Nothobranchius furzeri: one gene and its partners. Each later gene encodes a partner of the first gene's protein in a complex. Links are inferred from orthologs where the notes say so. Each region holds a gene or a part of one and is shown on either strand. Other genes may lie near its edges.

Region 1 (11,053 bases):
ACAAGCTGAACTTTTCTTAATCAGATTGGTCCAAAGAGAAGTATTCAGCAGTGAAATCAAGAATTTGCAACAATGCAAGGACGTAAAATCCAAAGACAAAGCAAACAAGCTATGTAAATTAAGTCCATTTTTGGATGAGCAGGGTGTGCTTAGAGTAGGCGGCCGCTTGACAAGAAGTGATCTTCATCCGCACGTTAAACATCCCGCTATTCTGCCAAAAACAAGCCATGTGTCTTCTTTATTGATTAAGCATTATCATGAGAAGGTGCAGCATCAAGGAAGAGGTATGACTGTAAATGAATTACGATCTAATGGGATATGGGTCGTTGGATGCAGTGGTGCAGTTGCCTCACATATCTTTAAGTGCGTCACATGCAGAAAGTATAGAAGGAACAAGCACGACCCAAAAATGGCAGATTTGCCAAAGGACAGAGTGGAAATGACCCCTCCATTCACATATTGTGGCATGGATTGCTTCGGACCAAAATCAATCTTGCATCCCTTCTATGTGAGGGATGCAAGAAAGGAACTGAAGAAGTATGGCCTTCTCTTCACTTGTATGTGTTGCAGAGCTGTACATATCGGGATGCTTGATGACCTCAGTTCGGATGCTTTCATCAATGCATTGTGCGTATTCATTGCAATACGTGGGAATGTTAGGCAGTTGAGATGTGATCAAGGTACCAACTTTGTGGGCGCAAAAAGAGAGTTCATGGACTCAATGAAGAACTGGGATCATGAGCAGTTGAAGGAATATGGCTGTGAGTCTGTAATGAATCCCCCATCGTCAAGCCATATGGGAGACATTTGGGAGAGGCAAATAAGGACAGTCAGAAGTGTCCTAACAGCAATCCTTGATCAGTCTGCTAAAAGACTTGACACCACCTCACTTAGGACATTTTTGTATGAAGTGATGGCTATAATAAATAGCAGACCCCTGACAACAGAGCACCTGAATGATCCAACAAGTCTTGAACCGCTCACACCAAATCACATTCTGCTGATGAAGTCTAACATCATATTGCCACCTCCAGGTCAGTTCGTAAGTCAAGATTTATACCTCTTATATATAAGAGATGGCGGCAGGTGCAGTTCTTGGCGAATGAGTTTTGGACAAGGTGGAGGAGGGAGTACCTTCTTAATCTCCAGCAAAGACAGATATGGCATGGGGATAAGAAAAACATCAAGGTCAATGACATTGTTATTCTTCAAGAGGACAGTGCTCCGCGAAATCACTGGAGACTAGCAAGAGTCACAGAGGTGTACCCCAGCGCTGACGGAAGGGTCAGAAAGGTGAAGCTGTTGGTTAGCGACTCAACTTTGGATGAACGGGGAAAACGTTCAACTAGGCCAGTTTATCTTGAAAGGCCAGTGCAAAAAATAGTTCTACTGGTTGAAGCTGAATAAGCATGTGTTAAACTGTTGTAAATGCTTATAACTTGAAGGTTCAAATCTACGAGGAAATCTCAAGTTGAGATTTGGTGGGAGTTTAACTGCCACAATGTAAATTATGTCAATTTGTTTAATTTATTGTGTTATGTATGTATCTTATTTCCCTTGTCTATTGTTGTTTCTTTTGGGGTAAGTTTCATGCTGTGTTGCGCACGGCCCATTTTGGGTGACGGAAAGGGAAGTAAAAGAGCATGTGAAAAGAAGCTAAGCTATAACCTACGCAGTCACAGGAATGAATAAATAAGCAGTTTAAAGTAAGGGAAAGCTGTAGAGAAGACGAAGAAGAAACCAGCGAATTACCTTTGTTAAGTTTTGTTCCTGAAGCGGATTCACTCCCTTATGGTTACGTGCAGCCAGCGAGGTACGTTAACTGTGTTTATTTATAGCGTACTTGTTAACTTGGGTTAATGTTCATTTGTAATATTTATGTTTGGTTATTCTGTACTTTGGTGTAATGACAGTTTGACGGTGGATTAATGGTGTTTTGGAGGAGAAGTGTGAAGGAAGAATAAATCCATCAGTGAATGAAGAACCGTGGTGTCGTCTATTAACCGGAGGGAGCGAAAGTCAGAATACTCAGCAATTCTCCAGTGAAACAATCGACAAACAGCACAAACTAAACCCGCCTTTTTCTTTTATTTTTAATATTTATATATTTTTAATAACTGCCTGTACAAACAGATATATTGTACTCTTTGTCATTGATATCCACACTGTTGGTGTGATGTGACAGTGTATCCAGATGCCTTGGTTGTGTAACAATCTTGGCTGATAAAGTGGATTCTGATGATAGAAAGACAACAGCTGCCACCACCTCTTCATTCGCTTCGCCCCCTTTCTCTTTCACTTCTGTCCTCATGTCAGTTGGGATTTAAAGCAACCGAAAATATTTCTAGTAAAGTTTTGGTATCACGCTCCACCTGTGAAAGTAAAACTGTAAGGCTTGTCTTTTAGCCTAGTGAACTAGACCAAATTCTTGCTTTGCAAAGTTTGGTCTAGGAACGCTCCACTGGAACCTCTGCAGCCCCAACAGCATTCAGGCTGGCCAATCACAGCTCTCTAGAGGGGTTTCAAACACATAAAGAGCTGTGATTGGTCCATAATGGTGGGCCAATCATAGCGCTCTATCTGCTTAGTGAACTAATCACAGAGCTTTATCCGCTTTGTGGGCCAATCAGGGCACTCTATATGCCTGGTGGGTGGGATGATGCAACAGAGCAAAACAAGTAGGGATGGGTATCGAATTCGGTACTTTTTAAGGTACCGACCGAGCAACGATTCACGTTGTTTCAAACGGTGCCTCGTTTTGGTACCCGTCCTTCATAACGAGAACTTGCCAAGACAGCTGCGCATGCGCAAGAGCGTTATGTCGTCGGTCCCTGCGAGCGTGTTGTAAACAGAGCAGCATGGTAGAAAGAACGCACGCTAACGCTTGGGTCCACTTCACTAAATGTGATGGGTAACTGGGTGATGATGAAACCAGCGACATACAACGATTTAAGTGAGACATCCTCATCTTAATCTGCTCCGTTAGGTAAATAAAATGTTTAAGATAACGTTACCTTGATATATTAGCTTCCGTTTCACTAATGGTGCGTTCGCTTTCTCCTCGGAACTCCGAATTTCCAACTAGAACATGAACGCGCTCTAAAGTTTGGCTTCACTTTACTAAATGCGACGGGTGATTGGGTGAAGATGAAACCAGTGACAACGATCTAAGTGTGAGGCATTATTGTTTTAATCTGCTCCAGCAGTTAAATAAACTGTTAAAGATAACGTTAGCTTGATATGTTAGCTTCCATTGCCACCGTTGTTATCAGCTAATGGTGCGTTCGCTTTCTCCTCGGAAATTCTAACTTCCCAGTAGGAAAAATTAAATGAAAAAAGACGGCAAAAGGAATGAAGATACACAGTAAATTTAGTTCACAGTAAAGATGTTTGCTTCAGTTTAATTATCAGCTTATAAAACTACAAGGACAATGTTAATACAAACAGTTGAATGTTATTTATCGTGATATTTGTCAAATGTTGTTATATATTGAGAAAAATATATATTTAATTATAAAAGAGAATTAAAATAATAAACACTCAAAAGTATCGAAAATTGGTACCGTTAAGTACCGGTATCGATTCGTAGGTACCGGGAATTAGTACCGAATCGATTCAAATGTCAAAGGTACCCATCCCTAGAAACAAGAGTATGTCACATTCATTGTCCAGTAGCATGCGGAGATCATTTGAAAGACAACGGTTGAACCTGCCCCACAACTGAGAGCCATAATTAGAGCGTTGCCAGACTAAATAATACAATTAATAATACTACTTATCTTTGGCATTCAGACATCAATTCTGATTGCTTCACAGCCGGACAGGACACCGTAAAAAAATAAATAAAAAGACAACAGCAGCTCCAACAATCACTCGTTCCTCCCAAGGTCTGCAGAACAGCATCTCTGAACCACAACATGATGATGCCTGAAGCAGATCCAGCAGCAGAAAACCACATCAATGTGTCTCTCCTGTCAGCTAAGAAAAGGATACTGAGGCTTCAATTCATCTGGTGTCACCAACATGAAAGCATGGGTCCATTCTGTCTTGCATCAATGCTTTAAGCTGCTGCTGGTGGCATTCTTGTCCCACTTTGGACCCCTTAGTACCAGCTGAGCCTAGTTTAAGTACCACAACCTTGTTGCTGACCATACATGTCTATCACTTTATGACCACATGGACCCATTTTTTGATACTACTTCAAGCACGATCATGCACCATGTCACAAAGCTCAGAGCATCTCTAACTGGTTTCTAGAACATGACGATGAGTTCACTGGACAAAAACGGCCTCCACGGTCACCAGATCTCAGTCCAGAACTTATGGAATGTGGTGGAGTAGGAGGTTTTCCTTATGAACAGAGCTGTGTGATGTTATGTTAATATGGACCAGAACTTCTAAGGAAAGTTTCCAACATCTTGTTGGATCAATGACATGAAGAGAGAAGGTAGTTCTGATCTAACCCTGCAGATACAAGGTGTACCGAATAAAGTTGGCAGTGTGAGGCACGTATTTAAGCATCTTCCTCTGTGTTTTTAACACTGAAGTTTAATAGACTTTTGATTTAATGATTACTGCACTACCTCTCTGCTTAAAGTGTAAAGCTGCGTTTTTACCAGGCCCCCACAATGTGGCTTTAAATTTGAGGCCAACCCGGAAGTAAGAGAAATTGCAGTTCCACCCTCATCCGCTGGGGGCTGGTGTCAGAAACGAGCAAATCCTCATTGACTCCCATGTTAAAAATGCCAATTTCACAGCAGAAATAAACATGTTTACAGCCTGGTACCAAAACATGTTTTTTGTTTAAATGATCTAGTTTATACTCATGACAACTCTGAGGGGGGTGAATTTTTTTTCTCACTCTTCTGTTTAAGTGTATTAAAAGCCTAAAATTCTGTATAATTAATGAGCATCCGACACACGTGACCACAGAGCTAGCTCCGTGGAAAGGCCTCAGTAGAGCCTCAGTCTGGCTTGGAAACTGTTCCGGGATTTTGAGTCTCTGTGTTTGTGTATTCTTTTTTGGATATTTTTTGTGCAATTGTTGGACAAAATGACTTGCTGTGGCATTAATTGCACTAATAGAGCGTCCAAGGAGTCTCCACTTCATTTTTTTCGGTAAGTAAAATTATATTTATGTATTTTAGGTCACTGCCAAGCTGAGCTTAGATTTTAACATGTACTGTTTAACCATGAAATTTAAATGTAATAGGGTAAAACCCAGTGCATTTAACACAATGCTGCACTTTAGAAAATGGGTTGAAATATAACATGTTGGTGGAGCTGGGTTCCGACTATCGGCTTGTGGAGCTCTCGGGAGACCGATGTTTTCCACCCAGAATGCCGGCTGTTTCTCCCCGCAGCCTGGTCCATCTCTGTCTGATCGCGGCTCCTGTTAGCTGCGCGGGCTAACGGCTGGTTCTCCCAGCAGCTCGGCGCATCGCTGTCTGATCGCGGCTTCTGTGTGCTGCGGCGGGCTGACGGCTGGTTCTTATGGCAAGCCAGAACCGCCAAAATACGCCACTTCTCCCCGCAGCTCGGCGCATCTGTCTGATCGCAGCTTCTGTTTGCTGCAGCGAGCTGACGGCTGGTTCTCCCAGCAGCTCGACGCATCTGTCTGATCGCGGCTTCTGTGTACTGTGCGGCTGCCGGCTTGTGGAGGTCTCCGAGACCTCTGGGTTCCACCGTATTTTACCCAGCGGTCAGCCCGGCGTACCTCTGACTCAGAAGCTCTGGTGTTGTGCACAGTTAACTCCAGTTGTAGCTAGGTTGCTACCTCCGATAGCTTAGCTCCCACATCCGCATTAGCTTTGGGTTAGCTTCAGGTTAGCTTGTAGATAGCTCGACCGGGTGTTGTCAGTTGATCCCAGCCTTACAGCCCCACCCTCAGCTCCTCCTCTCTTCCCTTTTGTGGAATTGTCTGGGCTTGACGGAACCTGTGACACGGTCAAAATGGCGGTGGTGGCCACCTCCCATTTAGCCTCAAAAACGTGTTATTGGAGTCTATGGAAACCCATTGTCCATATATTAATGTCGATGGTTTTTACACACAAGATGCATTCAGCTACATTAGCTTTAGCATCACAGCCAGTCATTGTACTTATGTTGATGTTTTGCGGTAATAATTACAGCAAACTCTTGGCCTTATTTATAACACTCACTGTTAATAAATAACAAACAGAAACAAGTGAAGATGTTGACGTAAACAAACGTTTTTACCACTTCATCAGCTTCCCCCTGTCTCTCATCGAAGGTCCTCACCAGTCTCTTCCTCTCCTCTGCATTAGGAACAGAACAAGTTCGAGGTTTAAACCAAGAAGGTTTTGTTATTTGACACTTAAACGAGGTTAAATGAGGGAACAACGGGTTTATTTACCTCCGGTACAGCTGAGAGCCTTCTCTGGGATTAGCTTTAGCTCGTCATACAAGGATCTGTAGATTTCGTGTAACTTCTCAAATTCTTCCGACGACATTTTCCGTCAATGTAATCTCGCTGTCTGTCATAAAAAGGCCACCTGTACCTTTTTCTTTAAAGGACGGAACGAACTACACAAGTGGATCAACTGCTTGTGCTTCGATGAGACTCTTCCGCTGCCGCATGACGACTCTCGTGACCAAGTGCCTAAACTTTACAACATTGCTACAAATTTGAAGTATTCACATGCTAAACGTTCGGTGAAATTTATTTCAATACTGAAGATGAATGTGACAATACCATCAATATGCTTAACACTATTTAAATGTCTTACAAGTTATTTTAACGTATTTTATTCAGGCACGAAGGTAGACAGCTTTAAACGGTCTCTGGGAACTGTAGTTTTTCCGCTAATTCTTCTAAAAAAGATTTGAAACATTTGTTAAAAGACAACTGAAACATCATAAAATAAGATAAACTATTACTAGTCACTACAATATTAAATAAAAATGAACGAAGTTTATATTAGTGTGCATTTACTTTGTCTGTTTACATTATTTTCTAGCCAGGCTATTTCCTAAAACAATAATGGGCCTAAATTATAGATACATTATAATAATAATCAATTTTGTACAGAATTATTGTTTTATAAATTATTTACTATTTAGATACAAGGCTACCTATAAAGAATAGCAAGATACCTGGATGATGTCCCGATTGAAACACCTTTGGTTGACGTGGTTCTGACTGCCATATGCGTCGCTCAAAAAACTATCCTCATGAATTGGAAAAATAGAGATACTCTTTGCATTAACCAGTATATAAATCTTTTGTTGGATCATATTACACTTGAGACAGCCTCTTCTTCCACTTCAAATCAATCTATATGGGCTCCTTTGATCGGTTCCATCACATAGAGGTGATTGTGTGTGTGTGTGTGTGTGTGGGGGGGGGGGGGGGGTTGTCATTGATACTGTCCTGCGGGATGATGTGGGTGATGGGGTGGAGGGTCTGCGCTTGCAGTATCCGGACGTTCCTTGGAGGTGGATTCACTGGGGGTGTCTGGGGCTGGGGGGCTGCTGTCCCACTCTGGAGGCGCTTGGGTTGCCTCGAGGGGTGGATTACTGGCGGTTGTGAGTGGAGCCCCTTGGGGGGTCTTGACGGTGGCGATGGGTTGCTGCCTGGTGGCTGCATCACCCCTGAGTGGGTCTGGGTGGGGGCCTGGGGGCTAAGGGTGTGGGGGTAGCTGGCCCCCATGTGGGGATCTGGGCGGGGCCTTGGGGATTGGCTCCTAACTTGTATGCTGCTGGGAAGAAGGCGGGAACACACGGCGGTGCCTGGCCCAGGCTCAGGGGCCTCAGGTGGACCTTGGCTCCTCTGAAATAATAACAATTCTGTCACATCACGGGGGAGGGGGTTGTCCAGGAGGGGGAGGACCCAACCTTACCTGATGTCTTATGTCTTACATATTCTGGAAGTTGTGCAAATGCAGGGATGGGAGTAGATATTCTGCTGGGGTGGGGCTGGGTTGGTGCCCTCGGACTCCGTAGGGCTCTGCGATGCTGCTGCTTTGGGCCCTGGCTAGGTGGGCTGGGGTCTCCATGCCCTGGGTGGCATTTTGGGAACAGAGGTGCCTATTGGGGCCAGTGGAGGAGCTAGCTCCCTGGAGGGCTTAGGCCAATCAACCATTCCTCCACATCCCCATACATTTTTTTTTCCTCCTGCTCCCTCACATCATCACACAAACATGCACATAGGATCATGGGGGGTGGGCAAGTCAGGGGGTACAGGTATGGATCCCATTTCCGCATTCCTGAGACAGCCTGCCCCCCAATTTTATTTGCACATTAAGCACTTCCACCAATGACATTCGACGTAAACACACACTTAGGGCTTTGGGAGTGAGCACACTCAACGGCATTTGGCAAGGGGATCTTTCAGCCTCATCCCGAGTGCCGGTGCCCACTTCCAATATTAAACTTCACTTAGATACAGAGGGCTGTGGGGGGAAGTGGGGTTGTGTGGTGGCATCAGCTAGCGTAGGCCAGACGATGCCCGCACTGCCCGCTCACCACAACCATGGAATACACCTCATCAACACACACTAACACTGTATTGGAGCAGGCAGAGGGAGACTAGGGGTCTTAGCACACCTGTGTTGTCGCTTTTTCACGTGTCTGAGCAGAACCTCCCTGAACCGTCTACAGGTGGTTCAGAATGTCTGTGCTCGGCTTCTGACCTAGTCCTCCAAACACACCCACATCACCCCGCTTCTCCTCCAGCTTCATTGGCTGTCAGTCAACTTCAGGGTTCATTTCAAGACCCTGGTTCTGGTCTATAGGGCCTTACATGGACAAGCACCATCTTACATTGGTGATCTTCTCAGTCCCTACACCCCCAGCAGGTCCCTGAGGTCCAGTGATCAAAGCCTACTGGTTGTGCAGCACCAGGCTAAAGACCAAAGGTGACAGATCATTTGCTGCTGTGGCCCCCAGACTCTGGACCTCTCTCCCCCTGAGCCTGAGATCAGTGAACTCAGTGGGCTCCTTTAAAAAGCAGCTGAAGACTCACTTGTTCAAGCTGGCTTTTGTATGACCTTCTTCACCACTCTCTCTTTATTCTGCTCTCCCCACCTATTCCACCTTCCTCAAGATCCACTGATTTCCCTCTTTCCTGTTCACTTTCTCTCTTTCTCAACATTTTTAATCACAATTGCCTATTTTTGCTCATTTTAAATACATTTTTAAACATTTTCTAAATGCTTTTTTATATTTTTACAATTTTTGTTTTTGTGAAGCGCCTTGTGATTTTTATCTCGAGAGGCGTTATATAAATGATACTTTCTTCTTCTTATTGGCTTCCCATGGCTAGAGGCTAGGAGGGGGAGCTGGCGTGATGGGTTGCTTTGCTCAGTGTTGGGCTCTTTCTGCAGGTCTAGAAGCAAACTCTTGTTCATCATTGATTGTTTATTTTTGTGGAACCCCCCACCCCCTTCCTTTTGTCGCTTCCTTTCTCTTTCACCTCTGTCTCCGAATTTGTCACCAGCATGCAGACATTAATTCGTTTGCTTCACAGCCAGAAAGGACACGAAAAAAAAGAATAAAAAAAAAAGAACAGCAAGATATGAAATGGCAACTAAAACAATTATGTAAATGGTCTGTATTTGATATAGTGCCTTCTAGAATCCTGGAACCCACCAAGGCGCTTTGCAACGCAATCAGTCATTCACCCATTCACACACACATTCACACCCTGTGTGTTGGAAAAAAAATTTTCAACATTTATTTAAACAAGCTACTACTGATTGGCAGTATCAAAAATAAATTGGTCAAACTGAAATCCTCACACGTGACACTAAAAGTGAGTCAAAATCGAGTGGACAGTACGTTTTCTGGTATTCGTCAGTGTAGAAAACTACAATCCCACAATGCTGTTCGCGTGTTTGGCTGATCCTTGCTCTCTCAACGTTTGACATCAGCTGTTCAGCCTACACATCAGCAGCAGCATCCTGCTGGGAGCCTCTCAGCCAAGCGCCAAATCGCAGCACCATGATCCTCTTATTAATCATCGCGGGTATCGGAGTGGTGACGCTGCTGGTGGTTTTATTCGCTCCACACATCCGGTGAGTAGCCGATCAGGACTGTCGTTAATTCTCATGAAAATCCCGTGTTTTTGCTCACCATGGACAGCTTGTTACTTCTGGGCTGACATGTTGTTACTCTGTTGTCTTCACGTGCGTTCACAGCCAATAGGATCTTAGAGCGCTCGTTTATTATTTCGGTGTTTATAGAAACGACTCAGACAGCCATAAAGGATTTTTTTAATAAAATGATTTGAGTTTTTGCACAAACATGAGCGGTGGAGGAGGAAGAAGGGGGGGTCTTCCACCTGAGGTGCTCGGACCAATCAGGAGCCGGAGCGTGGGAGGAGTTCTATTTGTGCGCTTTACTCCGGCGGTGCCATTGGGCACGGGGCGGAACCGGCTCGGTGGCGTGGGTCACACGACTTCACGCTCAGCACCGCTCTGACAAGTTTCTCTATGAATAATTAAGCCAGAAGCCCAAATGTTCAGTTCTAATGAGGCTTTTACTGGATGCATAACGGATCACTGGTTATTCTAATACTTACATCTTTGTGTGTTGTTCTAAATTATTACTGTGTTTCAAACAGAAGATATGCTGCTGGAAGAAAGTGCAAATCCACAGCTCGGCTGGATGGGAAGACGGTTCTGATCACTGGAGCAAACACTGGGATTGGGAAGGAGACCGCACTGGACCTGGCAATGCGAGGTGGCCTAGAATTAGGAGCCTCTGTTAAAGCAGTAGTTCACATCATTTGAAAAGGGGAAAGGTCATGAATATTGATGTTGAGAAACCTCAGTTTGGAAAAACAGATTAGTTCTCATTGAACGGATACAGTTACAAAAAACTTTGTTTACCCATTTGGAAAAGGATTTTATCCAAACTTACAGAGGGCGCAGTATCAACCTAAACATGCATGTTTTTTGTTCTGTGGGAGAGAGAGTGAAATACAGGAAAAGCGTTATAGGTCCACTGAGGCTAGCAGGAGTTAAATCAAAAAATGTTGAGTATACGAAGCAGGAAAAGTGTTGGATTTTTTTCTTTGCTGCATGGCAGG
Region 2 (11,018 bases), on another chromosome or scaffold:
GCTAAAGGAAAGAAAATGCTTCGACATAAAAATGCATGCACACATGCATAAAAATAAATAAATTTGGGTTGTTTTTCATGAGGAAGTAATATAACATGGTCAAAACCCTCAAAAAGTAGATTTTGCATGATATAAGACCTTAAAATAAGTTTTTTAAACCATTATTTTGAACAAATATGAAATATACCATATGCAGATCAGATATTACAAATACACAAAATGTACCTGTAATGAGACCACTATAGTGTTGGAATGGGTCTGGATGTGTCGGCCACCAGGAGCACTGCGGGACCTGATCAAGTCCTGCAGCTGTGCAATCTGTTTGTTTAGGCTGTTGATATCCTTTGGACAGAAGAACATATGAAAAAGTCAGTATTTTAATAAACAAAAACTGATATTTTTAATACACATTTATAAACCTCACACCTGCTGGAGAGCAACTTCAACCTACCTGTTTAATGATGTAGGTTAGCTCCTCAATCTCCACTGCCTTGTCATCAAATAAAGATTTCTTTTTGGCCACTGAAATAACAAAGCAATAGCACGCAAAAATCAGCACTTCGGAAAACAAAATATTTATTTCTGCAGAAATGACAAAACCATCACTTACAAATTGTGAGTTTTTCCAATTTGGCAAATGTATTGCTTAAGTCTTTCCCAATCCTCCTGCAAAGAAACAAGCAGATGAAACTTACTTTTGGTTCTCAGTGTTTCCCCTAGAAATTTTTCTAGCTGTGGTGGTTGTGGTGGTGGGTGGGGATTATGACACGTCTCACCTTTATGTTAATATTGTTTTATTTGATGCACTCCACTTTGAACTGCACCAATCCAGCAACTGCTGCATTTTAATAACTAGTATTAAAAGGTGAATACACCAATATTTGCACAAAAATAATTTTTGTTTTAAACTCTCAGTGACACACTTTGCAGGGGGGATTTGGCATTTAATTTTTCTTGGCGTCTGGAAAAACATCTCCTTTTGCCCCCCTTTATTTGACTTTCTGCCCCCTTTATTTTGGTCCGAGATCATTACTGGGCTGGCCCTATTAAAAACGTTCTACACCCCTGCTTAGTCGACTTAATGAAGTATTTTTAAGTCAGTATAAAAATGACTGAAACACAAATTTACATATTTGGCATTATTGACCAATATCTTTGATTTAATTTATTTGTTAAGAACATCAAGATGCGTTACAGTGATCATTATAATGAAGCACATTTTTCTAGTGCAGAGAGGAGACAACCCATAGAAGCACTGATTTGATCTCATTTCAGAGAAAAATAGAACAGGTCAGATGCACCTAATAAATAAAATTACTAGCATAAACTCAGGAATCGGTTTCTTTGCTTCATTGTTCTGGTGCTGAAAATATCACTAATGTCAAAGGAGATACACAGATGAATGCAACTCCTACTTATTATTTGGAAATTAGTGGGTGTGGTTTACATCAATACATTATTTTAAATCTGAAATTGATATGGATTGATCAGAAGTTGCTATGTGTGTTTATTTGAAAACTATTTACAGAGCAGCCTCAGAATTTAGATTAAATATTTTTGACCACAATAGTAAAGGAACTATTAAAGAACAAGTTTTTCAGTAAAATCAGAACATTAATATTTAAGTATATGAGTTAATACATCTAAACTCATGCAGTAGGAACTACTGACCCCAATTGAAATACTAGAACAATTAAAATACTAGAACCAGACAAACCTTTTTAATGTTTTTATTTTAATTTGATTAAACTGATTTTTTCCTAACGTTGTTGGCATTTTCCCCACACAAAGTTAAACAAAACAATGTTGATTAAGGTGTGTGTGTATGAGAGAGAGACAGAGAGAGAGAGAAAGTTAAAATAATTTTAAAAAACCCGACCGGAGATGAGGCAGTGACCGACGCAGCATGAGCCGTTTTCAGCTCTGTCTTGTCAAATGCACCACGTATGTTACGGAAAAGGTAACTTTAAATATTCAACCGAAAAAGAGGCGAGCTGAAGAAAACCTAGGGAGTACTGAAGAAACGTGAGCAACAGTGAAGCAATCACAGAGAGATCCGTTACTGTCTGTGTGTGTGCGTGGATGCCTGGGCCGGACTGAGCTCCCGGCTGCAGAGTTTTGTGTGTAGGGAGGGGCGGACGCTCTATGTGACTGGCCAATCACGGAGCATGAAGACAGTTACCCAATGGGTATTTTCTTTCAGCACGATTACAGATATTTATGAGTTTTACTCGTTTCATGCTCGTATTCATCAAAAATGCTTTATCCGCCCTATCTGTAACCACCCTGCCCTGCCTCCTCCTCCTTGCTGCCTGCCGGCTTTCATCACAAGCAACAACAGAGTAGTTCCCGCTGCTTCTTCGGGAAATGGCACAAAGAAAAAAAAAATCAATTAAACTTGGGATCTTGTAGGCGTGGCGCTGGGATTTCAGCCGTGGCGGGCCGCCACCTATGCCTGTGTAAGGGAAACACTGGGTTCTGCTTCATTAACACGTGTTAGAATAAAACCTCGGGGGGTGGACTACTGGCGGTTGTGAGTGGGGTCCCTTGGGGGTCTTGGCGGAGGCCATGGGTCGCTGCCTGGCAGCTGCATTGCCCCTGAGCAGGTCTGGGTGGGGGCCTGGGGGCTCAGGGTGTGGCCGGCCTGGTGTGGGGATCTGGGCGGGGCCTTGGGGGTCGGGTCCTGACATGTATGCTGCCGGGAAGAAGGCAGGAACATGCGGCAGTGCCTGTCCCGGGTTCAGGGGCCTCAGGTAGACCTCGGCTCCTCTGCTGTTCCATCACAGGGGAGGGGGATGTCCAGGAGGGGGAGGACCCAACCTTACCTCAATGTCCAATGTCTTATATATTCTGGGAGTTGTGCAAATGCAGGGATGTGATGCTGCTCCTTTGGTTCCCTGGCAAGATGGGCTGGGGTCTCCATGTCCTGGGTGACATTTTGGCAACAGAGGTGCCTATCGGGGCCAGTGGGGGAGCTGGCTCCCCCACTATCGGGGCCAGTGGGGGAGCTGGCTCCCTGGAGGGCTTAAGTCCAACCAGCAATTCCTCCCCATCCCCACACATTTTTCTCCTCCTGCTCCCTCACATCATCACACAATCATGCACATAGGACCTTGGAGGGTGGACAAGTCAGGGGGTGCAGGTATGGACCCCATTTCCGCATTCCTGTGGCAACCTGCCCCCCAATTTTACTTGCACCTTACTTCCACCAACGACATTCCACGCAAGCACACACTTAGGGCCTTGGGAGTGAGCACATTCAACGGCATTTGGCAGGGGGATTTTTCAGCCTCATCCCGAGTGCCAGTGACCACTTCCAATTTTAAACAGCACTTAGACACTGAGGGCTGTGGGTGCAAGTGGGGTAGTGTGGTGGCATCAGCTGGCATAGGCCAGACGATGCCCGCACTGGAACTTGGGCACGTTCAACACATGTCTTAAGGCTGTGGTTGGCACTAAATGCACTATAATTTATTATCGTGTGATTGTTCAATAAAACAATGTTGATTTTACATTTCTTCATCAAGTTGAAACAGTGATAGCTTGCTCCTGTTGTATTGTTGTGTGTGTCCCTTTTCTGCAGGTCTAGAAGCAGACTCTTGTTCATCATTGATCGTTTATTTTCGTGGACCCCCCCCCCTCCCCTTTTGTATCTTCCTTTCTCTTTCACCTCTGTCTCCGTGTCCGGTCGAAATTACAAAGCATTCGAAAAACATTAACAATAAAGTTTTAAGTATCAGACATGACATTAAAAGCAGAAGCTTTGATGCTCCACCTGAGAGTAAAATCTGTAAGGCTTGTCTCCAGCATTCAGACATTAATTCTGTTTGCTTCACAGCCAGACAGGACAGGAGAAAAAAAAAAAAGAATAAAAAATAATTTTTATCTCAACCACTCTTGAGAGTTTTAAGACAGGTTAAGAATCATCTGGAACACTCAAAACTAAAGTAGCTGTGGTATCAGTAAAAAGAACATTTGTAACACATGAATAAAACATGTAGGAAAACCTCTAAAGCTCTTACTTGGCCATGAGTGTGAAGTCACTGCGTTGCCTGAGAGACTGAGAAGCAGGTTTACTAGGCTGGACTCCATTCTGACATGTGGGGGGATATGAGGAATAAAATGTTAGATTTAAACCAACAGTATGAAGCCACACAGTGGATAAATAAAAATATATTATTAGATTATTAATTAAACATTTTTGTTGTAACTAATATATTTGTGGAGGTATACAGTATCACCTGACTGATAAAAAAGTGGAACCAAAACCACACACACACACACACACACACACACACACACACACACACACACACACACCAAAAAGCAAAACCAAAAGAATCATTGTTATAAATGCATTCCAATTTACTCACAACATGAAAGCAAGGGTGAATTTAAGGTGTACACCTTAATGGTGGCCGTAGTTCACTCAAACATACCTGTCTGCCTTGTAGAGATTTACAGGCTGACTGAAACTCGAGGGTTCGGTCACGGCACGTCATTCTGACGCAGCTCAGTGTCACCAGCCTGCTGTGGACACCCGAAAAACTCTTCCTAACGTCTGTCTGCCTGATGAATATAAACAAGGAGACCTTCTGATCTGGGGGACAGACTCACATCCAAGGTGGTGTGTCCTTCATCGGCACAAGCACACACATGTCTGCAAAAACAATGAAAGGATCTTTGGTGAACAGCTTAATGAAAAGACTAATCAAAAATACCTATTCGGTACCGTTAGCCCCGACTACGAAAACAATTAAATCGCAGCAACAATGCGGTAAATGACAAAGACCACAATTCACAAACATTCCCACGTGAGAGCAAAATATAAATACCATTAGGTAATAATTATTACCCCCAAAGTCTTCGAGAACCATCACGACGCACAGCTGATCTCGGCCTCACCGGCTAACCACCGGCTAACATCTGCTAAAGAACGCTACAGGCTTTTCATCCGGTTCCGTCACCATTAAAACCGAACTTTATTGCGCTCTAAACTCAAAACATGAAGATTATTCATATTTCAATTCGTTTCACTTACTTGAGTCGGCATCACACCATTTTTATCGAATATACTCGATGTTCTGGTAAGAACTAACCGACCGTTTTAGTTAAAGTTCCGATCCGGGTCATTTCCGGAATTGACGTCACTGCCACGTCTACTTTACTGAGACGTAAATCCCCGTAGGTGCAGATTAGCTCCACCAGGGGGCAATGTTCCCCCTCTTAATGAGAGGAATGTAGCAAATGACTAAACACCAAAGATCAGCACAAATAAAATAATGTTTAATTTTAACAGGGCCCAGCCATTTAAATCTATTCGAATTTTTAAATTTGCAAAGTCACTGCAGATAGGCATGTTGTTTCATATGTGCAAACCCCCAAATAATTCAAAATTGTACCTGACTGATCTGTCAGTGGGAAAACTATTGTGGTAAAAAGCACTCAGTTGCCACATTACAGGTTGCTTGCTCAGCATATTCAACATTAGATCCAGCAGATTTTTACCCTGTTTATGTTTGAAGTAAATTACTTATCTGTCAGCTTTGAGTTGTGTGTCATGTAATAGATTTCAACCAGGTTTGGGTCTGACTTTACTTGGGTAATAATTCAACATATTAAAATACAGTTTTGTAGTTTGACCTTGGCTGAAGTTCCCAGTGCATTCAAACATGCTGTTGTTCAGCCGATTTTGAAAAAACCTGGTCTTGATCCCACTGATTTCTCTAATCTTCGACCAATTTCCAAATTGCCATTTTTATCAAAGGTACTTGAAAAAGCTGTGCATGAACAGTTAACACATTTACCATCAAGTAATGCACATTTTTCAGTCTGGGTTTAGACAACAGCATAGCACTGAAATTGCTCATGTTCATGTGTTTAATGACATCTTTCTGACTTTGGATTCAGGGTTCCATGTGGTTCTGGTACCTCTTGATCTATCAGCAGCCTTAGATCTAATGAGCGCCTTGAATGGCAGCTCTCGTGGTCTGCCTGTATCTGGTCAGGCTGTACTGCCGAGCCATACTTCTGTGCTTCGGGACGCTGGGGCACTGACAATAAAGATGATTCTGATTGATCATAACATCTTGATCTCCAGACTACACACATGGGCTGGCATCACAGGTTTGGCTCTTGACTGGTTTAGTTCTTACTTTTCTAACAGGACCCTCAGGGTCAGGCTGGACGACTACTCATCCCAGTTGGTCTACGGTCCCTGAAGGGGTTCCTCAAGGTTCCATTCTCGGCCCATTACTGTTCTCCCTCTACATTCTGCCTTTAGGAGCCATTCTCAAACAGCATGCTGTTTCATACATGCAGACAATTGCCAAATCTATGTTTTGCTTAAACCCACTGACTCCACTAAACCTCTGTATGACTGTGTTCATCTGAATGACTCTAAAACAGAAGTAATTGTTTTTAGTCCCGATAATGTTAGAGCGACTCAGCCACCTGACCACTCTCATCCTCCTAATGTAACTTCTACTGTTTCCAACCTCGGAGTAAAAATGGACCCGGTTCTGAAGATGGAGGCTCAGGTCAATAGCACAGTGAAGTCCTGCTTCTACCACCTCAACAAATTTCTAAATTAAAGCCCATCCTGAGTGCCCGTCTTCTAAATCGGTGATTCATGCCTTCATTACATCTTGGCTAGATTATTCCAACTCCTGCCTTTATGGCACCAGTAAAGCTACTCTGGCCAGAATTCAGCAGCAAGGTTCCTGGCTGGAGTTGATAGAAGACAGCATATTACACCCGTTCTCTCCATTGGTTGCCCTCCTCAGCTCCTCCTCACCGTCCCTAAGGCACGTTTGAAGACCCGCAGGAAAGGGCTTTTTCTTTCTATGCCCCAAAACCTTGGAACTCACGATCTCTCCAGGTCAGGCAAGTGCCCTCTATCACCATTTTTAAATCACGCCTGAAAACACACTACTTCTCCCTGGCCTTCAGCTCCTAAACCATGAAGCACTAACTCATACTTTGTCATCCTTCTTTCCACCTTGGTTGCTCAATTTTAAATCTGTGGATTGGTATTTTGTGGTTTCACCTTGTTTCATTGATTTTACTTCGTTGTTCTTTTTAATTGTTTTAATGACACACGTGATGATTTCTGCTTGTGATGCTTTATTTTTTGCAGCGCTTTGGTCAGTTGCAGCACCGTGTCAAGTGCACTCTATAAATAACATGGTACGGTAAAGTAGGGTACATGTTACTTGAATACAAATAAAATATTCTAACTCATGTCACGAACATACTAACCTTTGCCTTCTTAAGAACAAGGGAGAAAACAGTAAACAGAGGATTTGATTGGCTGGTACCTCAGGTGAGTCGACTTGCAGGTATGGTATGGAACGATGAAGATAAGATCCAGCAGACACTCTGATGTTCTTCTGCTTCTGCTGGTACCAGCATCCTCCTCGTGGCAGGATCAAGCATGTCTAAACCACAGCTATGTCCTCACCCTTTACCTGTTGTACCCCCCAACAGTGACCCCTCCCAACTTTCCAACATATTGTCAGAACTATTTACCAACCCTCATCGGCTCAGCTATGGTCTCCATCGCTCTTTATATCGCACTTTAATCGTGCCGGGAAACTCCTCTGCTTTCTTAACGTTGGCCCATATGAGGTCAGAAAAGAACAGTTTCTTCGTCTTTTAGCCATAACTGAAACCCTTTTCTTACATGTGTCATGTATATTACATATTATCCATTGATTTTGACTGAATATGTTAAAAGTCTCTGGGTCAGGAACATGTGCATTTGCATCCAGAAGATGATCCTAAACAAAAAAAAAAAAAACTCCTGTCGTTTTAACCTTTACTCCGTCTGCAGTGGTAGCGGGTGCAGTCTGTGAACATGTCACATTTTCATTGTATACGCTGAACATAGTGAAACAGATGACCATCAGGAATTTCTTTATCATGGCAGACATCTCCATGCTCCATTCTACGCATGTTTATTTTGCGCACGCTGTTTCCCATGTAGTGAGAAGAACGTGAATCTTTTTTTCAGTGTGCTTCAGTGGAGTTGTGGAGTGGGACAGACAAGGTCTGTGGATCCACATTTCTGCTGAAGATAACAAAGTTTTGTTTTCCTGCAAAACAACAAAAAAAGTTCTTTGTGTTCACCGTGTTAACAATGGACTAAATCCCAGTCTTTCACTCCTGGTTTGGTTTATCAGCACTCCTCTCTAACACACACACACACACACACACACACACACACACACACACACACACACACACACACACACACACACACACACACACACACGCACACGCACACGCACACGCACACGCACACACACACACACACACACACACTGATACCATCTAACAACACACATGGTCACAGAGCAGATAGCGTCCAGTACCTGCTCCAACACAGCTGCTGCTACACTGAGCAGGGAGGAAACCATGGCTGCAGTTATTAGAAAAACAGTGAGAACAAATGCAAAGAAAAGCAAGGTGGAAAAATACAGGAAGTCCTGGTACAAGTGCAGACTGGGGTGGGTGGGTGTGGGGAGGCTGACGAGGAAGGAGACATAGCATATGAATGCATAAAATATATGACAACATGGAGAGAACAATGGTGCGTCTGCTCCTTTTTAGCAATCATTTTGAAGGTTTTAGAGTCGCAAAGTGCTAAAAAATAGACCCTGGATGGGACACATCCTCTCTGTATCGAGACATATGACTCACTCTGTCCTTTTCTCTTTCTCTGTCTCCATAATCTTGCTGCTATATTTAGTTCTGGCTTCGTGCCCTTCGACAGGGAGGTTGGTAGCAGCACTTAGCTCCCCTCATCTTTCTCTCCTGTTTCCTCTTTCTTATCCTGCCCATCCTTTCCACCCCTTTCTTCCCTTAGTTTGTGCAGATTTGTGAAACGTTAGCATCGTCCTAATCTGTAACTGAAATCTGAGTATCGGAGACAGAAATCTTCTTCATCTGTATTATTAGGATATGGACATAACCAGCACTGAATGCAGACCAGTCCTGCTGCAGGTAGGAAGAGTGTGTGCACAAAATACACAGATAAAATGTTGTTCAAGTGGCTCTTGCACACTTGCAACAACTAACTGAAACTGCTGCATGTTCTGATGAACAGTGTTACAACAGTAGCGCAAAAAATAGCTTCATGAGCATTTAAATACATGTATAATGTCTCACACACACACACACACACACACACACACACACACACACACACACACACACACACACACACACACACACACACAGTGAGACAGCACACCGTTGTCCCTCTGACTCAGCAGCAAAGGCGAGAGGAGGCGCAGCAACAATATTATGTCTCACAACATCACGTCACATCACATACGCACTTTTTCACCGTGCCCAACTCCCATGGTGGCGGTGTAATGAAAAGACCCTGTTTATCTTTCATTACCGTCAGAGGACAGATTAAAAACAAGAGAAACAAAGACGGGAGCGGGTCGGAGCAGAGGGCAGGAAGAAAACCACAGGGTTATATGAAAAATAAGACATTTCCTTTAATAATATCTGTAACATCATGATTGTATTCTGGTATAGATCTGAATATATTCGAGGATGCAGAGTACACTTTTATGAGGACATTGAATCCATTTTCTTAAGCTAATAGAACATAAACCTGCATTATTTTCTACAAAGACGTCATAAAAGGGCACAAATGGTGTAGCAGCAAAAAAAGAGTGTAGTATTTTTCTTCCACATAGGCTACAGTAGTAGTTGCAGAGATTCATGGCGATGAATGGCTAAAATGAAATTACAAACACACTTCTAAAGTACATCATACACAGTATGGATAGGGCAGATTATTAGATGCTATATAGTTCAATAAGGGGAGAGATATTTAGACACTGGGGCTACCTTTACAGGACAATGCAGACTTTGCAGATACAAAGCACACCGATGTTTGATGCTCACACAACATCTGAACAAGGCATTAACCTTTAATCTTCAGGGGTTGGGATGCTGAGGAGACAGGACAGAGAACAGCAACATCTCAGCGGAATGAGGGGACAATGAGGTCAAAAGGAACAGAAGGTGAAGAAAACATATCTTGAAGTTGTCTGAGGGGAAACATGTCGCTCTGTCCTCGATAGACATCTGGTTTTCAGTGGACTCATCTACAAAATGCGCTCTGCAGTCTCAAACACAATTTGTACACAGCAAAAAGTATTTTCTAAAAAGGTAAAAACAAAAAACATCTACATTTTTAGACAGTTTATCTTATTTTTTGTCTAAAAAGAAAATAAATGATCCTATAGAAAAAATAGCATTAGCTACTTAAATAAGGTAAATAATATTAAATATGATCCATATCTTCTTGTTCTGAGTTTAAAGATCTGCCAACAGGGTACGAAAAAGCTGCTTGGTTAGAAATCTTACAACTAGCAAAGTAATCAGAATTTAGGTTTATTAAGATTTCTAGCCAAACAGCTTTTGAATACCTCAATGGCAGATTTTTTACAATTCAAAACAAGAAAATATGGATCATATTTAAGATTATTTACCAAATTCTAAGTAATGCTTTGTTTTCTAGAGAATAAATGCATTTTTAGATTAAAATAAGATAAAATGTCTAAAAATCAGGCTTTTTAAAAACTTTCTTAGAAATCTGTTTTTGCAGTGATGCTCAAGGGGTCTTGAGTTTCCCAAAATACTTGTTTGCTTTTTTTTTTTAATAAAAGTTTTTTATTCCCTATTCATAATAAAAACAAAGTAATATTCAGTTGATTCAAATGATGAACACTCAAACAGGAATGCCTGGAAATAAGCAAATACAACCAGGAATAGTTGTGAAAAATTGGGAATTACAGGTTTCCCCTAGATGAGATAATTGATGCCATAATTCATGTACATCCTGGATCTATGTGGTTTCGCTCTCAGCTGGGTGGCTCAGTCTAAGTGAGAAGAAAGGAAACAGGACTAAACGGGTCCGGCTCTACCCAACAGTAACATAATCTGCCCACAGAGGACCTTTAACCTCTCCACCTTGGAGGTCTGTGCAACAG
Region 3 (10,863 bases), on another chromosome or scaffold:
CAGCAAGGACAACCAATCACACGTTAGTATGATGCGGCAGAGCCAATCAGTGAGCTTGTAGGCGGGTGTAAGGGAAAATAGCCTTCAGCTTGAGGCGGCTGCCTCCGCATGGTCCTAGTGCCCGATTTGTTTCACAGTATAACAGTTTTGTACGTAAAATCTGACGAACGACCGGAAAAAGGGCATTTTGGGCACTTCGGACAAAAGGGGCAGGGTCTCAAGCACCCTCCGCACCCCCCTCTGCACGTGCCTGATGATGACAGTAGAAGGCCTCTCTCCCAGGATGACCAACAGGTAAAGCCTATCCTGACCCTGGACACCTGCAGTCCTACAGAGAAAATCAGAGACCACAGGTGACAAAAAGGCAATAAACACATTTTTACATTCATTCACATGAGAAGATAAAAATTATATTCTTCACACAAACACTTTTTACTTCATTAAAACGTGTCAGCTGTGTAAATCACTGAATGTAAAACTCGTCGTAGTCTTCCTCCACTTATCCGGGTCCGGGTCGCGGGGGCAGCATCCCAACTAGGGAGCTCCAGACCGTCCTCTCCCCAGCCACCTCCACCAGCTCCTCTGGCAGGACCCCAAGGCATTCCCGGACCAGATTGGAGATGTAACCTCTCCAACGTGTCCTGGGTCAACCCAGGGGCCTCCTGCCGGCAGGACATGCCCGAAACACCTCCCCGGGGAGGCGTCCAGGAGGCATCCTGACCAGATGCCCAAACCACCTCAACTGGCTCCTTTCGATCTGGAGGAGCAACGGTTCTACTCCGAGTCCCTCCCGAATGTCTGAGTTCCTCACCCTATCTCTAAGGCTGAGCCTGGCCACCCTACGGAGGAAACTCATTTCGGCCGCTTGTATCCACGATCTCGTTCTTTCGGTCATTACCCAAAGCTCATGACCATAGGTGAGGATTGGAACGTAGATCGACCGGTAAATCGAGAGCCTGGCTTTCTGGCTCAGCTCCCTCTTCACCACGACAGATTGGCTCAGCGTCTGCATCACTGCAGATGCTAAACCAATCCGCCTGTCAATCTCCTGATCCCTCCTACCCTCACTCGTGAACAAGACCCCAAGATACTTAAACTCCTCCACTTGAGATAGGACTTCTCCCCCGACCCCAAGTTGGCAAGCCACCCTTTTCCGGTCGAGAACCATGGTCTCAGATTTGGAGGTGCTGATCCTCATCCCTGCCGCTTCACACTCGGCCGCGAACCTACCCAGCAAGAGCTGAAGGTCAGAGCTGGATGAAGCTAGGAGGACCATATCATCCGCAAAAAGCAGAGACGAGATTCTCCTGCCACCAAACTCGACACACTCCACACCAAGGCTGCGCTTAGAAATTTCGTCCATAAAGGTTATGAACAGAACCGGTGACAAAGGGCAGCCCTGGCGGAGTCCAATCCTCACCGGGAACAGGTCCGACTTACTACCGGCTATGCAGACCCAACTCACGCTCCTCTGGTAAAGGGAATGAATAGCCCTTAACAGAAAGCCACCCACCCCATAATCCTAGAGCGTCCCCCACAGGGTGCCCCTGGGGACACGGTCATAAGCCTTCTCTAAATCCACAAAACACATGTGGATTGGTTGGTCAAACTCCCATGTCCCCTCCATCACCCTTGCAGGGGTATAGAGCTGGTCCACAGTTCCACGGTCAGGAAGAAAACCACATAGCTCCTCCTCAATCTGAGATTCAACTATCGATCGGACCCTCCTCTCCAGTACCTTTGGAGTAGACCTTTCCAGGGAGGCTGAGGAGAGTGATCCCCCTATAGTTGGAACACACCCTCAGGTCACCCTTCTTAAAGATGGGGACCACCACCCCGGTCTGCCACTCCACAGGAACTGCTCCCGATGACCAAGCGATGTTGCAGAGACGTGTCAACCACGACAGCCCTACAACATCCATAGCCTTGAGATACCCAGGTCGAATCTCATCCACCCCCGGGCTCCGCCGCTGCGTAGTCATTTGACTACCTCAGCAACTTCTGCCCCAGAGATTGGACAGTCCATCCCCAGGTCTCCCGGCTCTGGCTCCTCCTCGGAATGCGCGTAGGTGGGATTGAGGAGCTCCTCATTGTATTCCTTCCACCGCCTGACTATAGCCCCAGTTGACGTCAACAGCTCCCCATCCCCACTGTAAACCGTGTGAGCGAGTTGCTGCCTCCCTCTCCTGAGGCGCCGGATAGTTTGCCAGAACCTCTTTGGAGCCGATCGATAGTCTTTCTCCATGGCCTCACCAAACTTCTCCCACGCCCCCAAAATTTTGCCTCGGCAAATGCCACTGCTGCACCCCGCTTGGCTATCCGGTACCTGTCTGCTGCCTCCAGAGACCCACAGACCAGCCACGCCCTGTAGGCCTCCTTCTTCAGCCTGACAGCTCCCCAAAACTCTGGTGTCCACCAGGGGGTACGGGGGTTGCCACCATGACTGCCACCGGCCACCTTGGGACCACAGCTAGCAACAGCTGCCTCAACAATTGTAAAGTGGAACAAGGCCCACTCGGAGTCAATGTCCCCCACTGCTCTCGGGACTGAATGTAAAACTACTTTTCACAAAAGAACTTCTGTTGTTGTGTGTGTAAACAGCTTCACTCTTCACCTCTAAGCTTAATAAAAAACGCTTCTTTGCTCCGTTGTCCTCAAAACAAAGGACAAGTTTAATTCGCTACACACACACCCACGGGAATAACTGGGACCTGCGAAACAAACTCGTTCTGGATGATTTCTGCCTAAAATGTAATTTAAAAAACTAATATACAAACGAAAATGTCTATAAACTGAACCGCTTTAAGCTTCTTAGGTTTCTACGGCTAGTTTTTAACAAACTTACGTTTAAAACTTCGTAGCTCTCCCCATTTACTTTTCCTGTTGAAAATCCACAGCCGGCGCGCAAAGCATGCTGGGATAACCTTGTTCTGTGAGGATACAACAGACCCGTCCTCGAAATGTGGGTGGAGCGAGGACGCATTTGAGGACGCGAGAATGAGTATTCTTGGAATTCGGACAGTACTCGTCGCTGCGTTGTGACGTCATCAACCTCAAAATGCGCTCTTACAAGCATCCTTCCCGTGGATTCGGACACACCCCATGTTTCCTTCTACAGGAGCCTGGGAGGACAAAATATTACTGTTTTGAAACAAATGGTTACAAAACAGTCGCTATTCACAAACATTGTTGTTTTACACATTTACCTCTTCACCTGTTGCCAGTGATGAAAGGGAGTCTGATGTGCTTGTCATTTTTCTGGAGGTTGCACTGCCAGGGTTTTTTGACCCTAATGGCCATCCGTTGGTAAGGTCTTACTTGAACACAAAGTTCTTGTTCAAGTTGAACAGCGCCTCGCCTGGAAAACAGACGAGAGCAGACGGAAGCAGCAGGGGGAGTGGCGGAAAGCCGGCATTTAAGTCGGACAGATTTCCCTAATAATAATAATAATACAATTAATTTTTAATGCACTTTACATTACAGAAGTAATCTCAAAGTGCTATAGAGTATAGGGGACAGGTATAAGGTACACAGCTAGTTAAAAACTGTTAAAATTTCAGGATACTATCAAATATGGAAAATAAAAACAGTCCCCAGAAATAGATAAAACCCATCTAAAAAGTCATTACAGTAGATACAAACAATAAGTAAAAACAACACAATAAAGTAAAACACTCAATAGATCATTGTGCACTAGAAAGCCTTATTAAACAAAAAGGTCTTGAGGCCTTTTTTGAAAAGCTCCACAGATTGTGTGGCCCTTAGAATCTCTGGGAGAGAATTCCAAAATTGAGGGGCCACTGCCTTGAAGGACCTGTCTCCCATAGTGGAGAGTTTAGTCAGTGGTTGGTGCAGGCGGTGTGAAGAGGTGGTAGATCGGAGGGTTCTTGTGGCAGTGTGTGGAATGAGAAGTTCGCTCAGATAGGCAGGAGCAGTTCCATGGATGCACTGGTGAGTAAGAAGGCCAATTTTGTACTGAACCCGATATTGGATGGGCAGCCAATGAAGTGATCTCAGAACTGGAGTGATATGATCGTATTTGCGTCTCCTCATCAGGACCTGGGCAGCTGAGTTCTGGATGTGCTGGAGCTTTTGTATGCTCTTGCCGGGGGCCCCAACGAGGAGGGCATTGCAATAGTCCAACCTGGAGGAGATAAATGCATGGACCAATTTCTCTGCATCTGGCTGAGAAAGAGAGGGACGGAGTTTAGCAATGTTTTTTAGGTGGAGAAAAGAGACCTTGCAGAGGTGGCGGATGTGGGTGTCAAATGTAAGATTTGAATCTAGTCTGATACCAAGATTTGTTACAGTAGAGGAAAGGGGAATGTCATGACCGAAAATGGAATTACTGCTAAGGGAGAGAGACTGTGTTTGATGTGTTTGATGTGGAGTGCCGATAATGATAGATTCCGTTTTATTACTGTTTAGTTTTATTACTGTTTAGTTGAAGAAAATTTGCGATCATCCATGCTGTTATGCTCATCTCCTCCAGGCAGACCTGAAGTACAGATGGAAGAGTTTTAGGTATAGTGGAGTCCATTTTCATGTATAACTGAGTGTCGTCTGCATAACAGTGAAACGATATTTTGTATTTATGGAAAATTTGTCCAAGTGGAAGCATGTAGATGGAGAAAAGGTTTGGCCCAAGAACTGACCCCTGTGGTACTCCACAATTTACAGTGTAGGGGGATGACTGACATTGTCCTGAAGCTACAAATTCCGTTCTGCCCGTAAGGTACTCCTGCAACCAATGTAGTGTGGTTGCCGAAAGGCCAACCACAGTCTGGAGTTGATTTAGTAAGATGGTATGGTCCACAGTGTCAAACGCCGCTGACAGATCCAGTAGGAGGAGGAGAGATGGTGAGCCCTGATCCGCAGTTAGAAGTAAATCATTCATAACACGGATCAGGGCAGTTTCTGTGCTGTGGGCTGAACGGAAACCTCAATTTCCCTACATGTGTAGCTCATGGGTGACGACCGGATGAACACATCGCGTTAGCGTTCATACTTGTTTAATTTTCAGTTTTAATTCTGGTGCCTGTTAGCAGCTGAAACACATCCTCACGTGCTTCTGGATATCATATATTGTATATGAAGACATGACTGTAACAATAAGTAAAGGTTATCAGCTGTAGATTTAGTGTGCTCATAGGAAACGTGACAAAAGAACACAAAACACATTTCTCTTTATGGCCTATATTGTTGTCATCATCAGCATAACATGATTCACAGAATACATGTGACCAACTAACATTTTATGTTCTACCACCGGATGTTCGGATCAAAATATGAACCAATCAGATCTTAGATCAGGTGAGAGACAGGCGTTTCCCGTCAACCCCAAGGTTTTGCAGCCGAGGGAGAGTAACTGCAGCACCTTGCTCCAAAATCTGCGGCCACTTTGATCTCACGAGGTTATCGTTGCCTACGTATGCATGACGTCAGACCAAGTCGGCGTCAAGTTGGACACAAATCTAACCGCCATGCACAGCTCGCCGATCACCGCTGATCTAATCTGCACAGAACTGGCTTATCTGGAACACGGCCACATATACTGCTTGCTTGCATTGCTTTAGGTATCTTCTGCCCCCTGTCGCCAGGGAAAATGCACACTGTCACTTTAAACTTATATTAAACCTGAAATTATCACAAAATATTGCAATCATCTGTATAGTCAGGGAGGGACTGATTTAAGAAACGTGTTCTTTGCTCATTTGGCATTTATCATTTAGTTGTTATAGAAGTATGATTTTTAAATGTTTTCAACTTTAGTTCTGAACAATAAATAGAAAATCTGGCTAATTAAAAAAATTCTAGAAGACAATAGATGGTTGTTTTGATTAAATGATACGACAACCTACCACAGCTGTCCTTAGACTGTTGGCGGTGATCACGTGGCTGAGCACCTGATCGTGACGTAGCTCACCAACATGGCGGACTGGAACAGAGGTGGGTTTGAATTTGGACACGTATTCACTTTTATCTTATAGTTTATTTGTGATGTTGATGGTTGAAATGCCATTTTATAGCGGTGCGAGGGGGACTGTGACGTCAGCAGACATCAGAACCAACGGTTCAGAGCCCGAACCCCCAGCTGGGCTAGCATGAGGCTAGCACTAGCTGTTTAACAACACCTTCTTCGCTGAGCAAAGCAGATAAAGCGATAAAAACGGGACGTTTCTCAGATTATGAATAAAGAAAAGACAATCGGAGGTTTAGCTCGTGGTTGACTTTCATTTAAATGGTGAAAGGGCAGACAACAACAGTAAAACAGGATTTGAGGCTTACTTTTCATATTTAGTTTTGTTTGGATAATTTGGCTGACATAAGATGGTCTTTATGGAACATAACCGGGGTTTCCTTTAAGTAAACCTTTCCTGAACGCACCACTAGTATAAAAAAGGTTTTAAATGTTACTTTTACTACGGAGCAGTACACACATGTAAGTACAGGTCACACAGCACCACAGAGACAGAAAAATAAAACAGAACACCTTTATCAGTCACGTCTTGAAGAAATGCATGTTTCACTCTAATCTGTTTCCCACCTGATTATGTTCTGATCCTGTTGCTGACTCTGATCTCAGTTCAGTTTTAACTGATAACACTTTCAAAGTAAAAGTTGGTGTCCTTGCTTTTTTTCTGTCCAGAAGTCTTTTTTTCCAGATCATCACTTTTAATGCTTTTCCTCCCAGCCGTGGACATTCTCTCCTTTTTTGACATAAATTGTTCAGCTGTTGCCTAAAGTGACCATGTGTAGTTTTCCTGGCGATAGGGGGCAGTAGATACCCGAATCACAGCAAGCAAGCATTATTTTTGTGTTCAAATAAGACCTTACCAACTGATGGCACTTAGGGTCAAAAATCCCTGGGAGTGCAACCTCCATCAAAATAACACCAGATTCCCTTTCATCACTAAACGAGTGAAGAGGTAAATGTGTAAAGCAACAATGTGTATTAATGCTCAAAGTTTATAACCACTTGTCACATATCAGTAAATGCATTTTGTCCTCAGACTTCCGTAGAAGGAAACATGGCATCCAATATGGCATCGCTCGGTGACAGGGTGTTTCTCAATGTGAAGGCACCTGGCTTTGCGAGGCGATGTCTTGCTAGGCCAGGTGCCTTACTTACGAGGACACTGTTCTTCCTTGGTCAAAGAAAACGTTTAAATGGAACAGACTTGCATCACGTGACCGCAGCTTCCACGACAGCCATGTAACATCACATGAAACGGGACATAACGATATATTTTATACGTATTAGTTTCAATATAAATATATAACGAGGTGTTTACTTTTAAAATTGTGTATGTTTATTAAATTAAAAATATAAGCAAGTTACTACCCGCTAGCCACCGAAGCTGCAACTAATAAGCAGCCAACCAACAATAGATAACTTCGTTGGATCTAAAAAAGAAACATTTTAAATTAGTTCTCTTACTTTTAAACTTGAAATTTGCCCCCGAAGTAGCTGCCGGTTTTTGATCCGCCATGCTTTTGAAAATACTGCGGTGTATTCTGGGAAAGTTTTGCCAAGGCTAGGCTAAAAGACACCTTCTGTGTATCCTTGCTCAGCTAGCTAAACAGCTAACTAACGGAGAACACACGCCTTGGTAGAACATGAACATTGGAACGCGTCTTGGCAGCTCCTGATGACGTATCTCCTAGGCAACCGGGGCAGGGTCAAGACATCAAGGCGAGGTTCCTTGGCATTGAGAAACACCCTCTGTCCCTTTCCAATGTATTTTACAACAGATCTTTATGGTAACTTGTTTTTAAACTGCCAATATTTTTTCAACAACTGTTTTAATTCTTTTACGACAACAGTTCGGTGGATATTTCCAGAGATTAAAGGTGAAAACTACACACTGTCACTTTAACAGGATCTTGTTCAAACAGCACCAAGCTTCGGACTTCGACTGGTTCTTTTCTAGTTCTGCCTGTTCCATTTGCTGACTGGTTCTTTTGTTCGTTCTTCGTATCTTCCCTGTCCTCTCATTGGATTTTCATTGTTTCATGTTGATCCTTTGAGTCTTTAATCCAACCTTTTATTTCAATTCTCATTTAGTTTTTGTGTGGAAAAAGTATTCCTTACGAACGAATGGAATTAACACTATTGAGATCTGTGTATTAACATTGTTTTAAATCTATTACAGACGAGACGTTTAGTTAGTGTGATAAAGCAGATGTTTGAAACCATCACAGAAATGTGACAGGTTGTATTTCTGTGCTTGTTCAGGTCACGGCTCAGTTGACGACATGCTGGATGCTGAAAACAAACGGATGGCTGAGAATCTGGCCACCAAAGTCTCCAGACTCAAATCTGTATGTGAGTCCGATGAGTTGATAGCTTTTCTAGGTGTTTGTCAAACTCACTTTTTTCTCAGCAGCAAGTCTTGGTCTTCCCAAAAAAGCTGTGAAGCAACTGAAACTTGTTCAGAAGTAGGGTTGTCACGGTGTGAAAATTTAACCTCACGGTTATTGTGACCAAAATTATCACGGTTTTCGGTATTATCGCTGTATTTTTGTTAACGTGTTACATTTTCAGATAACTAAATAAACCCTGTATATCAGGAAAATATTGTCCTCAGTTTGTGTCAAAATTTTGCCTAAAATGTGTTATTTTGTAATTATGTTGTTTATTTGTTTACATTTTTCTCCTTTAGTCTTTAAAATACCAATATTTGCCCATAACTTCTTATTTTATGTCTGTTTGATGTCATCATTTAAAAATATTAGATCAGATGATACTCAGTACTCAAGTAGCCTTCTAATCAGATACTTTTTTACCCTTACTTGAATAATAAACCCTATTTCAGGAAAATATTGTCCTCGGTTTGTGTCCTTCCAGTGAGCTTTGCAGATTTGGGAAAATGTCATCAGGCAGTAATCGTTGTTAAATTCATAATTATTCTCGGAGAGAGACCAACTCTTATCTGCCCCTGGGAGCCCCGTAATGCATAGCGTCATTTCAACATGGGGGTGTCCGCGACACGGTTTATATGCAGGTAGCGGCGCTGCGGCTGCTTTATATAGCGACTCGTTGCATTCTCCCTCAACCCAAATCCTCGGATCACGCATTTGAGCTAAAATGCTAACGTTAGCTTGCCTTGCGTTGACTGTAGAGTTGTGGGTGATGGTCACGCAGATGTGTCATGACATTTGAAGCGTTGCTGCCTTTCACAGACACTTTTTCTGCACGTGCTGCAAACAGGATAGCCGTCTTCTATCAACTGTCCCTCGGCATTCTTCAAACATCCAAAAAATGCCCGTACTTCCCACTTTGTCTTCTTTGAGGGATAATAAATGTCCTGAGTGCTGCCGTCTCCTCCTTTGGCCGTTATTTCAGCTTTAGCTTCAAGAAAGTTTTGGTTGTAAACAACAAAGCGCGCATGTGCCGCCGGCAACTTCAGCAGATGATACGGTGGCTGGTAAGGGTCACCGAGCCTACACCGCAGCCAGGTAACCCACCGAGATAATATAGTTTTTTAAAAACAAGACGGTTATTATTATTGTCAACTTTTTTACCGGGGTTTACCGCTACACCGGTTACCGTGACAACCCTAGTTCAGAATGCTGCTGTCAGAGTCTTAACAAGAACTCCTGTTCTTAGATCCCTACACTGGTTGCCAGTAAACCACAGAATAGACTACAAAGTGCTCCTACTAGTTTATAAATCACTCAATGGCATGGGGCCAAAATACATGTCAGATCTCATTCCTGTATATACACCCAATAGGGCTCTGAGATCCCTTGGAAACAATCAGCTGGTAGAACCTCGGGTCAGAAGCAAACATGGTGGAGATGCATTTAGTTACTATGCTGCTCACATATGGATCCAGCTTCCCCATGACCTCAGATCTGCCCCAACTCTAGTGTTGTTTAACGCTAAAAACCCGAATGTACTCATCAGCCTTTACATGATTTGTTTCTTATGCTGGGTCGTCTCCACTGTAATCTCTGATGTAATTGCTCAACCATAGCTCTGTCTTTTCCTTTTAGCTCTAGAATATAATTGTATCTGTGTTCTCGTGTTTATTGTCGTGCCATTTCATGCTAAGTGTAAAGCACATTGAATTGTCCCTGTGTTTGAAATGTGCTGTATAAATAAAGCTGCCTTCCCCTAAAAATGAATAACATTTACCAAACAGCATTGGGGTTTGCATTTTCACAAAGACATAATGAAAGCATTGTTTTTGTATTTATGTTTGTTCACCAGAATGCCCCAGCTAGAGTGGAAACAGGATTGAGTTGAAAGTTGTTGTAACCTCTGATCTTCTGTCTCCTTTTTGGCAGCTAGCATATGACATCGACAGAGAGGCTGACGACCAGAACGAGTACCTAGACGGCATGGTGGGTCCAATCTGTGGCTGACATCGTCTTTGATGGAAATTTTGGACTTTATTTCCAGATTAAAGTCAACATTTTTAGTAAAACTAGTCAAAGTAGATTTTCAAGATGAGGAATAAAAACAAGCACTGTCTCAAAGGCCTACAGTCTTTCAAGCAGAACTTAAACGTTAAAGTCCCATTAGTCGTCACCCAGGTGGAGTGTTGAGCTGCAGACGCGGCTGTGCTCTGGAACTATTGGGTTGTTTAAGCCCCCAATCGAACAAAACCTTTAATGCTGAGTGTCAAACGTTGGTTAACATTTCTCAAGTCTGCCTCGTCCATTATTCTGGAGAACGAGAGGAGCCGAGTGTGGCTGAGAGGCCGCCAAACACAGTGGAGGACGAGCTTCTCCGAGCCTCCACAGAGCCGGCTTCAATCAAAATACACCCGAATGAATCCACTGTTTATATAAGGAACAATAACACTACCGGATTTACCGGTCGATCTACGTCCCAATCCTCCCCTATGGTCA

What was found. The genes of interacting proteins can lie anywhere in the genome.
Region 2: vti1b (region 1) and stx5a share a complex: the UniProt entries of both Homo sapiens proteins name them as parts of the SNARE complex. The link is inferred for Nothobranchius furzeri from reciprocal best matches to the Homo sapiens genes VTI1B and STX5.
Region 3: vti1b (region 1) and bet1l share a complex: the UniProt entries of both Homo sapiens proteins name them as parts of the SNARE complex. The link is inferred for Nothobranchius furzeri from reciprocal best matches to the Homo sapiens genes VTI1B and BET1L.

What each region holds. Positions count from the first base shown.
Region 1 is NC_091758.1:18,874,414-18,885,466, forward strand, and holds the start of vti1b (vesicle transport through interaction with t-SNAREs homolog 1B), read right to left. Parts: upstream 6,606-11,053; 5' UTR 6,474-6,605; coding exon 6,377-6,473; intron 6,279-6,376; coding exon 6,220-6,278; intron 1-6,219. Other genes in the region: rdh12 (retinol dehydrogenase 12), read left to right, coding at 9,964-10,037, 10,586-10,704. UniProt on the Homo sapiens protein: V-SNARE that mediates vesicle transport pathways through interactions with t-SNAREs on the target membrane. These interactions are proposed to mediate aspects of the specificity of vesicle trafficking and to promote fusion of the lipid bilayers.
Region 2 is NC_091741.1:87,965,486-87,976,503, reverse strand, and holds the start of stx5a (syntaxin-5a), read right to left. Parts: upstream 5,161-11,018; 5' UTR 5,042-5,160; intron 4,661-5,041; 5' UTR 4,503-4,660; coding exon 4,440-4,502; intron 4,094-4,439; coding exon 4,023-4,093; intron 667-4,022; coding exon 611-666; intron 523-610; coding exon 452-522; intron 343-451; coding exon 226-342; intron 1-225. UniProt on the Homo sapiens protein: Mediates endoplasmic reticulum to Golgi transport.
Region 3 is NC_091754.1:42,727,026-42,737,888, reverse strand, and holds the start of bet1l (BET1-like protein), read left to right. Parts: upstream 1-5,703; 5' UTR 5,704-5,930; coding exon 5,931-5,949; intron 5,950-8,239; coding exon 8,240-8,325; coding exon of another isoform or gene 8,326-8,329; intron 8,330-10,296; coding exon 10,297-10,353; intron 10,354-10,863. UniProt on the Homo sapiens protein: Vesicle SNARE required for targeting and fusion of retrograde transport vesicles with the Golgi complex. Required for the integrity of the Golgi complex.